Alligator mississippiensis: one gene and its partner. The protein of the gene in region 1 interacts with the protein of each later gene in a pairwise test. Links are inferred from orthologs where the notes say so. Each region holds a gene or a part of one and is shown in the gene's direction. Other genes may lie near its edges.

The links.
Region 2: the proteins of CTBP2 (region 1) and DMRTB1 interact in a two-hybrid assay, tested with the Homo sapiens proteins (2 studies listed by BioGRID). The two-hybrid records come from large-scale screens. The link is inferred for Alligator mississippiensis from reciprocal best matches to the Homo sapiens genes CTBP2 and DMRTB1.

Annotation. Positions count from the first base shown.
Region 1 is NC_081829.1:82,166,169-82,173,068, forward strand, and holds the start of CTBP2 (C-terminal-binding protein 2), read left to right. Parts: upstream 1-3,885; 5' UTR 3,886-4,166; intron 4,167-6,900. UniProt on the Homo sapiens protein: Corepressor targeting diverse transcription regulators. Functions in brown adipose tissue (BAT) differentiation. Isoform 2 probably acts as a scaffold for specialized synapses.
Region 2 is NC_081828.1:10,117,492-10,124,905, forward strand, and holds the start of DMRTB1 (doublesex- and mab-3-related transcription factor B1), read left to right. Parts: upstream 1-4,406; 5' UTR 4,407-4,491; coding exon 4,492-4,918; intron 4,919-6,800; coding exon 6,801-7,033; intron 7,034-7,414.

The DNA of each region.
Region 1 (6,900 bases):
CCAGCAGACTCAATTAATCGAGCATGTGTATAGGTGCCTTCAGGTATGTTTTGAAGCCTTTAAAGGGTGCCACAGTGTGCCAGGTAGTGTTAGTACTGTTAGGTGTGTGAACCTACATGATACCCAAGATAAACCCAGAGATTTCAAATAGGAATCCATTGTGTCAAAAGCATTTCTTAGCTGCTATGGTCTGAGTTCTTTGCAACAGAAGAATTGCTCTATTATTTTTCCATAGGCTCCAAACAATGAGCTAAAAACTGATATTTTCCAAAGGCTGCCGTGTGTTTGATGAGGGGTGCCATGAGTCTAAAAAGGCTGAGAACCACTGGGCTAGGGCACTTTTCCAGTTTCAATTATTTTACATCAAATGGGTTTTTAGATAAAATATCAGAACAGCCAGCTACTGTTTTTTGAGAAGCCTGATCCTGTTGCCATGTGCTAGGTTTAATCTAGGAATGCCTACTGGGTTGAGCCTCTCGGGAATTTTAGACGGTGGCCTGCTCAGGTTCAGGGTTTCTGTTCAGGTTGAGGCATGAGCTAAGTGCTGACCAGTAAAGTCATGTCAAGATGGGGAAATTCTGGGCATGCACAAATGCAAAACTCTTGGGAGCTGGGAAACTTTACTGTAAAAATATAAGAAACCTCAAGTATCTAGGCTCATCCAGAATAGGGGCCTTCAATACTGCAGCTTGAACTTAGGCATTTGAATTCTGCATAAATCCCACTTCAGGAACATAAAGCTCTTCTTGGATCTGGACAGATATCTTTTTCCCCAAAATTCTTTCATATTTGGAAAATCTGAAAAATGTGTACTAGTAACAAGAAGTAATTTGTGGAAAAAATAATTGACTTCACCTGATGTTTCCCATATTTCCCTTCTTAATTTTGAAGATACGTGTTTTCATAAGAGCTTTCTTTCTTACAACCTGGCATCTAATTGCTCTTCCAGTGAAATAACTATTTTGTGTTTATGACCTCAGCATATGTTACCAACCACATTTATTTCATAAACTCAACATTATTTATTCTGAATTATATTATTGTTGATTCCTGCAGCACCATAGATTGCATGGATGGTTTTGTGCAAACGAATACAAACACACATGAATTAGCAGTGAGAGAAAGCAAAACAAGATGGTGAGTATGGTTGAAAAAAAATTGTTAAAATACAGCAGGCAGATGCTCAGCTGGTGTAAGCTGTCATAGCACCATTGTGGGACAGTTTACGCTAGCTGATGATCTACCCTTAATATTTTTGATTGCCAGCAGAATTATTAACAGTGAAAAGACCTGAGATGTATTTGATGGTCACTATAAAATACTGTTCTAGAGTGCTAGAGCTTTCTCTTCATGGAACTTTCCCAGAGCAAAACGTCTAAGGCAGGGAACTGGGTCAGAAGTTGTATTTTGCTAAAATCTGTCCTGAGGCATGTAGTTGGAGCCAGTGTAATTTTGAATCTTTGGCTCATGGCATGATTTCCCAATTCTTTTCATAACTGCCAACAGCAGTAGTTTATTTCCAGCTTTCACTAAAATAACAATAGAATTAACAACAAAATGATATAATAATAAAATTACACGATTTGTTGCAATTGGTAAAAGCATGCAATAAAATCATACTTCCTACTAATTTAAACACAAGTAAAACTGAACATGATATATGATGATACATAAAAGAAATAAAATTATGCAATATAAAATAGTGGAATAAAAAATTAGAAACAGGGAATTGTATTTGATTTTAGTTATTATTCTTTGTAAAAATAGTGCAAATATACCTATGAGATTCCTTGTAGCATTTTTGTGAAAGCTGTAAATAAACTACTACTCCCAAGTGAGTAAACTGTCATTTGCATACAAACATGGACCTTGACCCTCCAAATGCTTAACACCATGGGTAATTCTGCTGAACTAGGGTTAGTAACACATTCAAGTGGTCGCAGGAATGAGGTCTTGGTTCTCAGCATCAGGTGGTTTGAATCCTGGTAATGGGTACGATGTTGAAACCTAAAAAGAACCTACAGTTTACTGATGAGAAGCATTTTATACGTTTACCTTGTAATTCCTGAGATGAAAATCAAAGTATCCTTATGAATTTCGATGGATAAATGGTCTGGTTCAAGGTTTTTATTTGACTAGAAAAGGAATCTGTTTTTTCCACTAGGATTGAAATTCTATATGATTGGATTACATATGATATGGAAAGCCCAGCAGTTATATAACAAAAAGATAAGATCACCACCTGCCCACATCCTTGTGATAAGCAAATGATGAATGTCTGTCAAAACCTTAATTCCCCAAAATATAAGGTGTAACGCAGAATACAACTAAATGCCTGTTTGAGTGTTTTTGTTATCTCCCATTCAGCCAAAAACCACAACGTGATTATATGATATTCATATCAAATTTGGTGCTCAGTGGGCGTGCATGCGCCAACCCCTTTCTATTTAAGATGTCAACAGAAGGGGCTCAGCATGTCTGGTGGCCTTTATCCTAAGTGCCCCCCCATCAATTTCAAATTACATCTGCTCTGTATGGAGCAACAAATGTGTGACACACTCAAATGATCTTAGGTGGAAAGAAACATTGATGACTCTGAGGGGTTTCCAGGGGTAACATGGACTTCACGCGCATGGCCTAGACCTGAGCAGTGCTGGCTGCAGTGCTCATTACGGAAAACCTTACGTGTATTTTGCAGACTAATATCTTAAAACAAGCATGAGAAGCCCGTTACAGCTTCATGTACCGTCAGGCACATATTTCACTGCGATGCTGACAAAACCAGTGGTGAGTCCTGCACGGCTGTTGTGACAATGCACACCTGGTTGTGGTGCTCCTGCTGTGTCTTAGGCCTTGCACCCTTCACCAGCTTCCCTGGGGTCACTGCTGAGGTGCATGCAACCAACACACATGGGCTGCCTCAGCACCCCAGTATCCCACCACAGTGGCCCAGTGCCAGGCCACACTTATGCCTCAGTGGAGTGGCTACAATTGGTCAAAGTCAATTTTTTTTAATATAATTTGCATCTGAGGCCAAATTAGCCAAAACTAATTCCAAATCCAAAACCATAAGTGGCACTGCTACCTGCAAACATCCTCCACCCGCACCTGGGGTTTTAGATGTTTCCGAAACCTTTGGCAGGCATCCTACTTGCAGGCTTGGGGTTCGGATGCCCCTGACTTTTGCTTGCCCTAGGAACAAGTAAGGGAGGAGACTCCCATCTCCATAAACTGGTACCGAACCATGCCAGGAGAGCAGCTCTGCTGCCAGGGGGTTCAGGAAAACTGCCTTCTTGGACACACACACACACACAGAGTATTATTTCCCCTGCCAGGTTAAGCAACTGCTATGCTTGATCTGAGCCTTCAAGAGGCCAAGAAGCAATAACCGAATGCAGCTGAACGTGCCCCCGAATCCCCCTTTGCAGGGAGCGCAGAGGCTTCTGCTCCAGGGGGCTGCCTGCCAGGCCCTCGGTCTCCCAGGGATGAAGAGCCTGGCCATGTCCGCTGCAGGCCGCAAAGGGCCAGGGCAGGGGAGCGGGCACACCAGGGGCGTGGGGAGGGCGGCATCGCCCACTCCCTTGCAGTTTCCAACTTGATGTGCCAGTGGCGGAGGTGGGAGGGCAGGGGAGCCCCCTTCCTCTCCCTTCCTCCTTCCTCCCCTCCTCTTTCTTCCTTGCTGCGTCTGTTTGTACTTTAGCTGATCCACTAATCCCCGGAGAGAGCCTATTTGTAGTGAGGAGTATCTGTAGGGGGCGAGGCCGGTGCATGTGGGTTTGTGTCATTGGTTTGCAAGGAGGAGACCCCGCCTCTTGCCAAAAAAAAAAAAAAAAAAAAGGAGAAGAAGAAGAAGAAGAAGAAGGGAGCGAGCGGGGAGGAGAGGAGAGGAGAGGCGAGGCGAGGCGAGCGCTGCCCCCCGCTCGTTTTCTCCCCCACCCTGCAGCTCCAAGTTGCAATTGGCAGCGGCAGCATCCTCCTCCTGCCGCCCGCCCAGCGCCTTCCCCGGGGCGGGAGGAGGCGGAGGCGGAGGAGGAGGCAAAGGGGGGGATTAAGTTTTTGTGCGGTGCGTGTGTGTCATTTTAAGGTGGATCTCCGGCAGCCGGAGCCCCGCGGGGCGATGCAGCGCTGAGCGCGGGGCCGGCGCTGCCCGCGGATCCGAGCACGAGGTAGGGCTGCGGCTGCGGCGCTGCGGCTGCGGGGCTTGGGGGGCCGGGGTTGCGGGGGGGGCCACAAATAATCCGAGGACATCTTTGGCCGCCTCCCCCTTGGCTTTTTGTTCGGCGGGAGGCGGGAGAAGTTTGCAGCTGCCCCCGGGCCGAGGGGAGCGGGAGCCTTTTGTTGTGCCGGGCGCGCATTGTTGGCTGGGCGAGGGGCAGCATCTGCCGGAGGATTAGCGCGGGCTGCCAAAGTCTCGGCCGGGAGGAGGCAGGGGGAAGGCGAAGGGGAAGGGGCGGCTTCTCTCCTTCCCATCCCATCCCATCTTCCCTCCCTCGCCCCGGGGTTTGCTCCCGTCCGCGGCACTTCCCGCCGCACTTGCAGCAACAATGGGAAAGTTGGGAGCCGTCCTGGCGCGAACAATGGGCAGAGTTGTTGTGCTCGCATTATTCCTCAGCGCTGGGCGCGGAGGGGCCGGCGGCGCTGGCCGAGCGGCCAGGGGGAGGCTCCCTCCCAGGGCAGGCGTGTCCGGGAAGGCAGGCGCTGGCAGCTCCGCGGTGCAGGCCGTGCCGGCCGCCCTCCCCCTTCGCAGTGCTGAGGGAGGGGGGCTGGAAATGCAGCCCAGGGCCACGAGTCGCCCCTCATGGATACACAGGCCCTGCAAAAAAAAAAAAAAAAAAAAATGAAGATGCAGCCAGTCACTTAGCAACTCCTCTGGCTACAGTAGAGATTTGTGTGTGACAGCACCCCGCACCCTCCCCAGGCATCTCCTCCAGGCTGTGTTGGAAGAGAAATCTAGTGCTTTTTCACTAAGCCCGTGTTTAGCAAAGTTGAGCGGCTGTTTTCCACTGCTGATTTCCAAGAGAGCAATCCCCCTTGTCCCGCTGCACAGGAAGATTTACCTGCTGGTGGAATCACCTTAACTCCTGGTTTGGGGGGGTATTTTTCTTCCCCCCCCTCGTGTGTGGTGGCTGCAACTAAATCTCTCCCTTCATTGATTCGCATCTCTGTGCTGTAAAATACTCTTCCAGCTATTATTGTTTTGCCCACCCCCTTGCAGGATGCAGAATTGTTACTTGCATGCTCTGGACTTTCGTATTTGTTCCCATCACACCAACAAAAGCAAAATTACGTTTCTCTGAGCATTTTCAGAGTGGCAGCGCTAAAGCGTGTTGGTTTAAAGCTCGTTACGCGGTATAATTTGGTCTGAAAGAGCTTATTCTTTTAACAAGAACTAACTGCGTGTGGAGTAGTCTTTTGTCTTTCAATCAAGATTGCACTCCTAAGGTAAACCCTGGCTGTGGCTTAATGTTTGATACCCTGCCTGATGCTGAGGTGTTCTCTTTATTATGTAAAGGAGGAAAGTGTAAGGAGATGAAGATTTCAAAGTAATACAGGAAAAGTCACTTCTTTCAAATGTGCTTATAATTGCCATTGAAGGTGCATGCCACCAATGAATGCATGTAGCCCCAATTAAACCACTTTAATCATTCACACTTGATCAAGTATAACGTGACCAAACAAAAGAAATAAGCATTTACAGTTCTGTAATGCATTGATTGATATTGTATACCTGCTAATCATATATTTTTGGTAATGGTTAATTACCTTTCAGTAGAATAAAGGATGTCTACTGCCGATTAGTTTTAGTGACCACTTATTTCTCGAAAAGGGGCAGTTTACCAGTAGGTATAAAAGTGTGGTTATTGCAGATATTTAGAGCTTAGTTTATTTAAGGACAGTGAATAAAATACATGACAGACAGTATATCCAGCGACAGAATATTTTTGTTACTGTTTTCTTCACATAAAGGTGATGACCTGCTTTAGCATTCTTTAAAGGTCCTTTTAACAAGCAAAATTGAAGACAGTCTCATTATAGCAGTGTGTGTTCAGAATACTATGAGGCGTTTATGAATGCAGAGGTGATTGTTGTATCAGAGACATTTCAATTACGCATACGCCAGTAAAAATTTTATTTGTAATAATGTCATGAGTGTGTGTGTTGTAATCTTTTAGTATCATAAAGCTGATTTGTCTTTAGTCTTCACTGGGTTGGCCAAATAATGGGTGGTCATACACAGTATTCTGGTTTTAAAAGCTGGATTTTTATTTGGTATTACCAAACTTACCAGAAGAACAGTTTTGAAGTGAATATAAATGCTAATATAGAACAGCCTATTAATATTTGAAATTTTCAGTGAAGACCTGGTATTGTTAGTGCCGGACAGTATTTTTTAGAAAGGAGGTTTTTATTTTTGAAAGCTTTTGCAAAAACACACCTGTTAGTCATTAGTGAGGTGGGGGCTTAGCCAACACAGATGTATGTATAAGGCAGTAAAAAAAAAAAACAAAAAAAAAGTGCACTCAGTTACTTGGTTGATTTTACTTCCTTTTATCATCACTGAGTATACAATCTTACTTTTAAAATTTAGGATCCAAATCATTCCTAAAACTGAATAAGTATAGTTCATCTAGTGAGAAGGGAAAATATGTACATGGTTTGAAATAAGAGCACAATACTTTTTTTTTTTTTTTTGGACAAAGAATTTAGGAATTACGTAGTTTGTTAGTACAGAGAGCAGGGTTATTGCAAAGCTCTATAGAGTAAAAAATCCCATTTTTCCCTTTTACAATCAAACCTCAAAGCTTTTAAAGCCAGTTTTCTTTATGGCATATGCTATTTAGAATCCATGAGGTTCAGCTGAATAGGATACCTCACATAGAATGACATCCCACAGAGTTC
Region 2 (7,414 bases), on another chromosome or scaffold:
TGGGGTGCTAGCCATGGTTCCCGCACTATGGGAATGGACCTTGTAGGCTCAGGTAGGCCATGGCTGCGTCTACACGAGACACTGACTGTGCAGTAGCTCATCACTACTGTGCAGTACAGCAGCTCGTTACTACTGTGAAGTAATGCTGTGTGGCATGAAGCGTGATGTGATGCTACTGCGCAGTAGTAATGAGATACTGTGCAGTCAGCATCACCAAAAAGCTGTTTGGGGACCAGGGCCAGATTAACCCTTTAGTGGCCCCTAGGCAAACAAAATCCTGGGTCTCGGGCCAGCCAAGACCCCTGTCTCCACCCCAGCACTGCCACCTGCGGGGAGTAACAACCACGCAGTCAGCATCTCATGTAGACACGGCCCAAGCAGCAACAGATGAACACAGATGAGCAGGAGTATAAGGAAGCAATGAGACAGGGATGAGTTGGGGTTAGAAAGGCCTTTTGAACAATTTTTGAATTTTGGTTGATATTATGAAATTGTCACAATAAAAGTCAGTGTTTCACTGAATGCAGCTGTGTAAAAATACCCACCAAGGCCTGGGAGGGTAAAGTCACCTCCCTGCCAGACTAGGGAAAAGGGCTGGTTGTTCAGTCTGAATGGGTGGCTCTGTGACAGGTCTCTGGTGGGTGTCCACCTCAACTGCATGGCTAAATGGAGCACTTGGAAGCTGGGACTTTGCTGGTGATCTCTTTCTATCCCAAACACGCTAATAAATGACATACAGTAAAGACCGACAGCCTAATTAGAACAGCTAGTTCGACGTGCAGATGCCAAGACCTGATGTTCAAAATAAACTGACCAGACAGAATAGAGTGTGTTGAAGTCTCGGAGAGAGCAAAATGACCATTAGTTGTACAGACCGTACATTTGGTGACCGTATTATTTTTAAGGAAACCCAGGACGCTGAGTTTCAAATGAAGGAAGAACACCCCCTCTCCCCCTCCAAGTCAGTGGCACTGCTGCAGGCAGAGACAGAGGCAGGCGGGCAGGAGCGTGGGGTGCGGTCTGGCAGGGAGGTGGAACAGCATGGTGCTTCTGGCAAGTGGGCGAGCGGGCACCGCTGCTGCTATGCAGGAGCAAGGCATGTTGACCGGAGCAGGTGCTGCCCTGCCCACATATACCTGGCCTGGCTCCACTTGAGCAGTGGCTGGAGGCAGGGGCTGGGCTGGGCATCACTGCAGTCTGCCTGCCTTGCTCCCGGTGCCTGCCTGCCCACCTGGCACACCATGCCGCTCCACTGCCCTGCACCCTGTGCCACCTGCCTCTGCCTAGGTGGCCGATTCCAGGACTTTTGTTTGAATTTTCACCAACTGGCTTGGACTGGCCTATGAAATCTGGGACTGTCCCGGCCAAACTGGGACGTATGGTCACCCGTACAGGGAGAAGCTGGACTTCCCTTGGCTACGTTCTAGAGCCGAAGTTAGCAGGCTACTGTAAATTACAGAGATGGGTGAACCTGACCTGACAAACTATTTTGCAAACTATTTTATTACAAAATGCTACCTGCATGTAGATAATGCGATACTTCTTCTATATTTCATCCAAGATATTTTAAAAACCAATTCTGGAGAAAATAGATTCCTTATTGCATTTAATTGTTCTTTAAAAGTGGACAAAGGAATGGTGTCATAGACTTTAAGCCAGAACAACTTTCTTTATTCACAGGGAATCAAGATTTCTTTTGATAAATTGTGCACATCTGCTCTGCTGAGCAATCTTAATGCTGTGCGATAGGGCAGCTAACTAAAATTTATATATAAAAGAACAGCAGACTGGGAATAGCAGCACTTCTCAAACTGCCTGCAAAAGTATTCATCTTACTAGTGAAATAAAAACTCATGTCTTTAAAGAAAGCCAGTCTAGACAAGTTAGAGACAAATGATATGGAAGGTATAATAATTCCTGCATGCTACGATGACAAATGTTCACAACCAAATGCAGGTACCTTTCAAAAGTAGGGATCATTTATGCAGAAACTATCAGTGTCCACAGTTGCTGTTTTGGTCCTGAGAGACAAGAATAAAAAACAATATATGCTTGCTTAAAGGTCCTCAATATTAATATGATGTGGCTCTGGGACAAAATTTACTATAACAAATGCATATAACTCACCTACCCTGTGTCTGATGGAATATGAATGGATTAGGCATCTCAGGGAAGATATAACAACCTTTACCTAGAAGGATGTTGTTTATCTGATTTAATTTTACAGATAAATGTGCAAGTGCATGCTACATCTAGCAATGACATTGGGAGATGTCATTTGGAATCTGCCAACAACTTACATTTAATAGAGAGTATAGTTAGTTTTTAGAGTGGCTGAAGAAGTATTCTCCATCTCTCTAAGGCCCTGAGTCAAAATAGCAGCAATTCAGGACATTGTGAGCTTTAAGTCTAACTGAACTCAAGTCAACCACTTGTGTCAGGTACTTTCCTGCCTTGAGGCCTACGGATAATAACTTTCAAAAGTGACTAAGTGACTTTGGTGAGGTGAGATTTTCAAAGGCTTTTGGGCACCTAAAATAAAAATTGAATAGGGCTGGAATCAATGAGAGTTAGGATACTTTGAGGATTTGAACATGGGACTTGGGTCGAAGCGATTACCTTTGGAAGTCGAGCGCCCCCGAAAGCCAATGGTACTCACACTCCAAAGTTACACGGGAATTTTCCAAAATCTTGTCCTAAGTAGCTGAGTTTCAAGTCAACAGTTTTGATTAAGATCTGACCCCTTATGACCTACACTATGCAGAGGGCCTCCTCCACTGGAGGGGATTTTTCAACATGACTTTAAAGCAAGGCCAGTTCATCATTAATGTACTCTTGAAACAGCTGAGATAAGTACTTCAGCTTGTCCCTTGTTTCCCTGGAAATGGATGAAAAATTAGCCAACTGTTTTGCAGTTAAAGATTGTTTCATTCTGAACAGGTTTCTTTTCACAGGGCGAAATTACAGGCTTCAGGTCAGTCCGAAGGCCAAAATCATGGGACCTGTCTCTAGAGCAGGGGTGGGCAAAATGCGGCCCAGGAGCTGGATGCGGCCTGCTGGGTCATTCTATCCGGCCTGCGAGGCCCCTAAAAAATTTAGAAAATTAATATTTATCTGCCCTGGGCTGCCTGTCATGTGGCCCTCGATGGCTTGCCAAAACTCAATAAGCAGCCCTCTGCCCAAAATAATTGCCTGACCCTGATCTAGAGCCTCCCTAGGGCTCTTGAGAGCACTCCTTCAGCAGCAAACCCAGAAATCAGGTAGTAAAGTCATGCCAAGGGTTTTGTTTCCCAGATTTTGAAGCTCCACCACCTTGTTTTTGAGTTGAATGCATCCAGAGCAGGGTTGAGTGGATGGAAGGAGCTTCTTATCAGCTTTCTCAAGAGCCCTGGGGAGGTGGTACCGACAAACCCAAATTACCCCTTATCTTTGGGAGGGGAAGAAAATCTGCAGTATCATTCCTTACACTGCTTGGTGCTCAGATGTGCCTGTTGATGAGCTACTGTATAAGATGTGGGTTTGTAACTGCTAACAGTAACAAATGACACAGGGCATTTTATAAGAAATATGGAAACAGGTGCATTGGCACCTTTTCCATTTTAAACCTACGCTTGCTTCCAGTGTATAAAGGATTTGGGGAAAGAGAGCTACTTAGAGGAATGAGGTGTGCCTTCTGGCCTGACTGTAAACGTGGGGTTTGGTTGAACATTTGGAAGAACTGAATAAAGAAGCTGACACGGTGACAATCCCCTTACCCAATAAAAGTTGAAATTTGAAACAAAGTGGAACTGAAATCATTCAAGGTAGTGCAATTTCTTACAAAGGATGATAGAAGCCATGGGCAGTAGATGACCAAAGCAGGAGAGTGCAGCTTAGATGCAGCATAAAAAGGCTCTGCTTGCATGAAGAAAAAGGTGTAAATCAGGTGCGCTTCTACTCGATCTACGCATGCAAACGCAGGGCACGGGCACAGAAAGGGTTAGAGGCCATGTTTTTGCAGACTTGGCTGTGTCTACTTTCTGGTCAAAGCCATGCAGCCTTTTCTTTTATGATCATGCAACTGCATGGGAAAGGGACAATATTTGACAAGTGCCTTGTGCAGCCCCCAGCAAGAGCATTGCCCACCACTCCCCACCCAGCTCTTGGAAAGTGGAGGGCTCTGTCTGAGAGTAGATCAGGGCCTTTGGAGTAGCGCTGGCCCAGCCACCATACAAATGTGCAGGATTTCCTTGCTCCAGAGCAAGGCTGTCTCTTGCAAGCCCTTGCAGCATTGCTCCTCCTGCTCCTGCTGACAATCCTCCCTAGCCCCCCAAGCACAGAGTTGCTGGACTCAAATGAGCTCCTCCTTTCCCCATGCACAAGGCCTAGCAGCCTCACTTGCTACATTGTATAGCTGTGGGTACAAGAGAGAGCTGTCCCAACCTGCCTTGTACATCAGCTCCCAGCTCTGGCTGCGCCTGGCTGTCAGGTGCCTGCCTGGCTGGAAGTGCCATGGAGGCCGAGGATGCGCTGGCAGCTGAGAAGGCAGCTCTGCGAACCCCAAAGTGCTCCCGCTGCCGAAACCACGGCTTCGTGGTGCCGGTGAAAGGCCACGCGGGCCACTGCCGCTGGAAGCTGTGCCCTTGCGAGAAATGCGCGCTCATCACGGAGCGTCAGAAGATCATGGCAGCCCAGAAGGCGTTGCGGAGGCAGGGCCCAGATCCCCTGCCCGGGGTGGTGTCGCTACCTGCACCCTGCACCCCAGGCCACGGCGAAGGACGGGGGACGCCTGCTGTCAGCTCCAGCGCCTCTGATCGGAGCAGCCACGCGGTCGGGCACGAGGGAGCCAAGGCTGTCCCAGGACCAGGCAGCAGCAGCAGCAGAATGGTGACCCGCAGGGCCCTAGACGCTCCTGGCTCCCAGCCCTTTGGGGACTTCGGTAGGGACCAGCACAGCACTGGGGTATCTGTCCTGTTAGCCTCTACTGTAGATGGCTCGCTTCTGCCTGTCCATCTCCATTTCCTTTTGTCTGTCTGTGCGTCACTCAGCATCTGTCTGTACATCTCTCCGTGGTGGCTGTCTGATCAGCATCTGTCCAGCTACCTTTTCCACCTGTCTAGGGAAACAGAAGTCAACCTGGCCTCCCATGGCCCAGTGCGCCCTGAGCTGTTCCCCACTTGGGATGTGCTTGGTGCAAAACCTTGGTTTTGCAGTTTCTGAGCTGCATCCCTGAACTTTGTAGCTGCAGGAACAATCCCAGGCAGCTCCTGTGGTCGTTTCATTGTTTCAAAGCTGAATTCAGGCCTGTGTTCCCTGTTTAGGAGGGAAAGGAGGCAGTGGGGTGGGGGGAGCACAGCCCTCAGTATCCAGGACAGCACCTTTTGATTGCTCTTCTGAGCTGTTACTGACTTTAAATATGCACGCATCCTGTCCAGCACAAAGCCATATGCCCCCCAGCCCAGCACTTGCAAATGAATTGGGAAGCTCAGTGGGAGGCATCTGGGCTTGGTTGCTGCAATAAGGGCTAGGCTCAGCTGGAATAATTTGGTGTAAAGTTTATTTCATATTTATGTGCAGAAGGGGGTCAGACTCGATGATCTATTGAGGTCCCTTCTGACCCTAACATCTATGAATCTGTGAATCTATGAAATGTCGTGGTGGTTTCATCTGTCGCCTCTCAGATTGTTTCTGGCGATCTGGTCTTGGGCATGTGATTCCTAAGCAGGGTGTCACAGCACGCTGGGGTGCCTTGGGAGCCTTTCAAGGGTGCCACGGGATGCCACACAAGGGTAGCGCTATTAGGTGCACGCACACGATTCATCAACTAGACCCAGAGCTTGCAAATAAAAATCAGTAGTGTTAAAACCTTTCTGACTTGCTGTGGTCTTTCTGAGTTGGTTGCAATGGAAGAAATGCTCTGCTGTTTTTCTGTAGGCGAGAAAGCATTAAAAGCTAAGAGCGGGCTTTTTCTGAGGGGTGCCTTGAGTCGACGAAGGTTGAGAACTGCTGGGTTAGTCTCATTCCTTATTGAAACCCCAGACTAGGAGTTGGCTGGGCCCTCAGACAAAAGCAATCAAGAAGACAGACAAAGATAGACCATATGCTTTGGCAGATCCAGAGGAAAGGGAGGTTAACAGTATCAGCTGATCTGCCAGTGAATGTTTCTTTCTTCTTTTATTTTAATTTGCATGAGCCTCACCAGACTAGTGAATCTCTAGGAGCAATTTGTACGGATGGGGCTAAGCTGCAGGCAGCCTCGCTGTAAATGAGTCTCCACCTGTCTCAGAAAGATCACTTGTGAGGGGTCTGTTTTAAATGATAATAAAAGGGAACTGACTCTCTAAAAATTAACCCTATAACAATGACAGATAGCATCAGGCGCTTCGTTCCCCTGCATTGGCTTAAGTAATTAGTGTTGTTGGTGTGCAAGTCTTCAAGGGGATGATATTTCAGCTGCTGCCACTGGAAATCGAGCTGTCTTCATGCTTGTTACAGCAGCACTTCCAGGTGGAGGTGCTGCAGGCAGGAGTTTGCTGGCAGTTTGCTTCCAGATGCGCGTGGCAGAAGAGAATCCATTTACTCTTTCTTTGTTACCTGCTTCACCTCCTTATTTTCAGCCTTTCTAATTTCCCAGTAGTAAGTGTCTAAAAAAACATCCAAAATGATTAGCAGCTGCATGTAAAACCAACGGGCCAGGCTCGGTGCACCGTTACACTGGCTAAGAATAGAATCGGGCACCGTCAGTCTTTATTTAGTATTTGGATTTATTGTGATGTTTTTGGTGTGTTTATTTTGACTTTTCCTTCCTGGTTGTTTCACAGCCTACCCTGCTCTGCCTCCAGAGTGCCTGGTTAGCCCAGAATTCCTCGAGCGAGAGCCTCCGAAAGTGTACCCGGGGTATTCGGGTATGTACCCGTACCACCCATTCCCCATGGGCTTTGCCATCAATCAGCCCAGCTGCAGGGGCGTACCGGCATCTGCAGGGATCCCCCTCCACCGAGGTTACAGACATGCTCCCAGCAGCCACATACCAGCAAGTGCAGCTTCTCTGTCGGTAAGGAGTGATTTTTTTTTTTTTAAACTGCTGCTGAATATATTGCTCCTTTGCTGTTGGATGCAATCTTGCTGTTAAAGTAACCATGAAACGTTACCCTGGCTACGAGTTTCTTCAAACAGCAGCTTGATATATTAAGTGGAAGGAAGCACGACACATAATAGTGCTAAAGGTCTCGCTCCAACCCAGAAAAATCAGAAGTATTGTGACCGGAGGGTCCAGATCTTGCGTGTGCTCTGAGCACCCGGCTCCTATTGTCTGAAAAGACATTTCTGGATGGAAGGGCATTGTAGGAAAAGGTTTCTTAGGGAAAATTGCCACTAAAGTGTGGCTTTCTGTCAGTGTAGCTGGCAACCAAAATGCCTGTAGGGACGCCTCTTG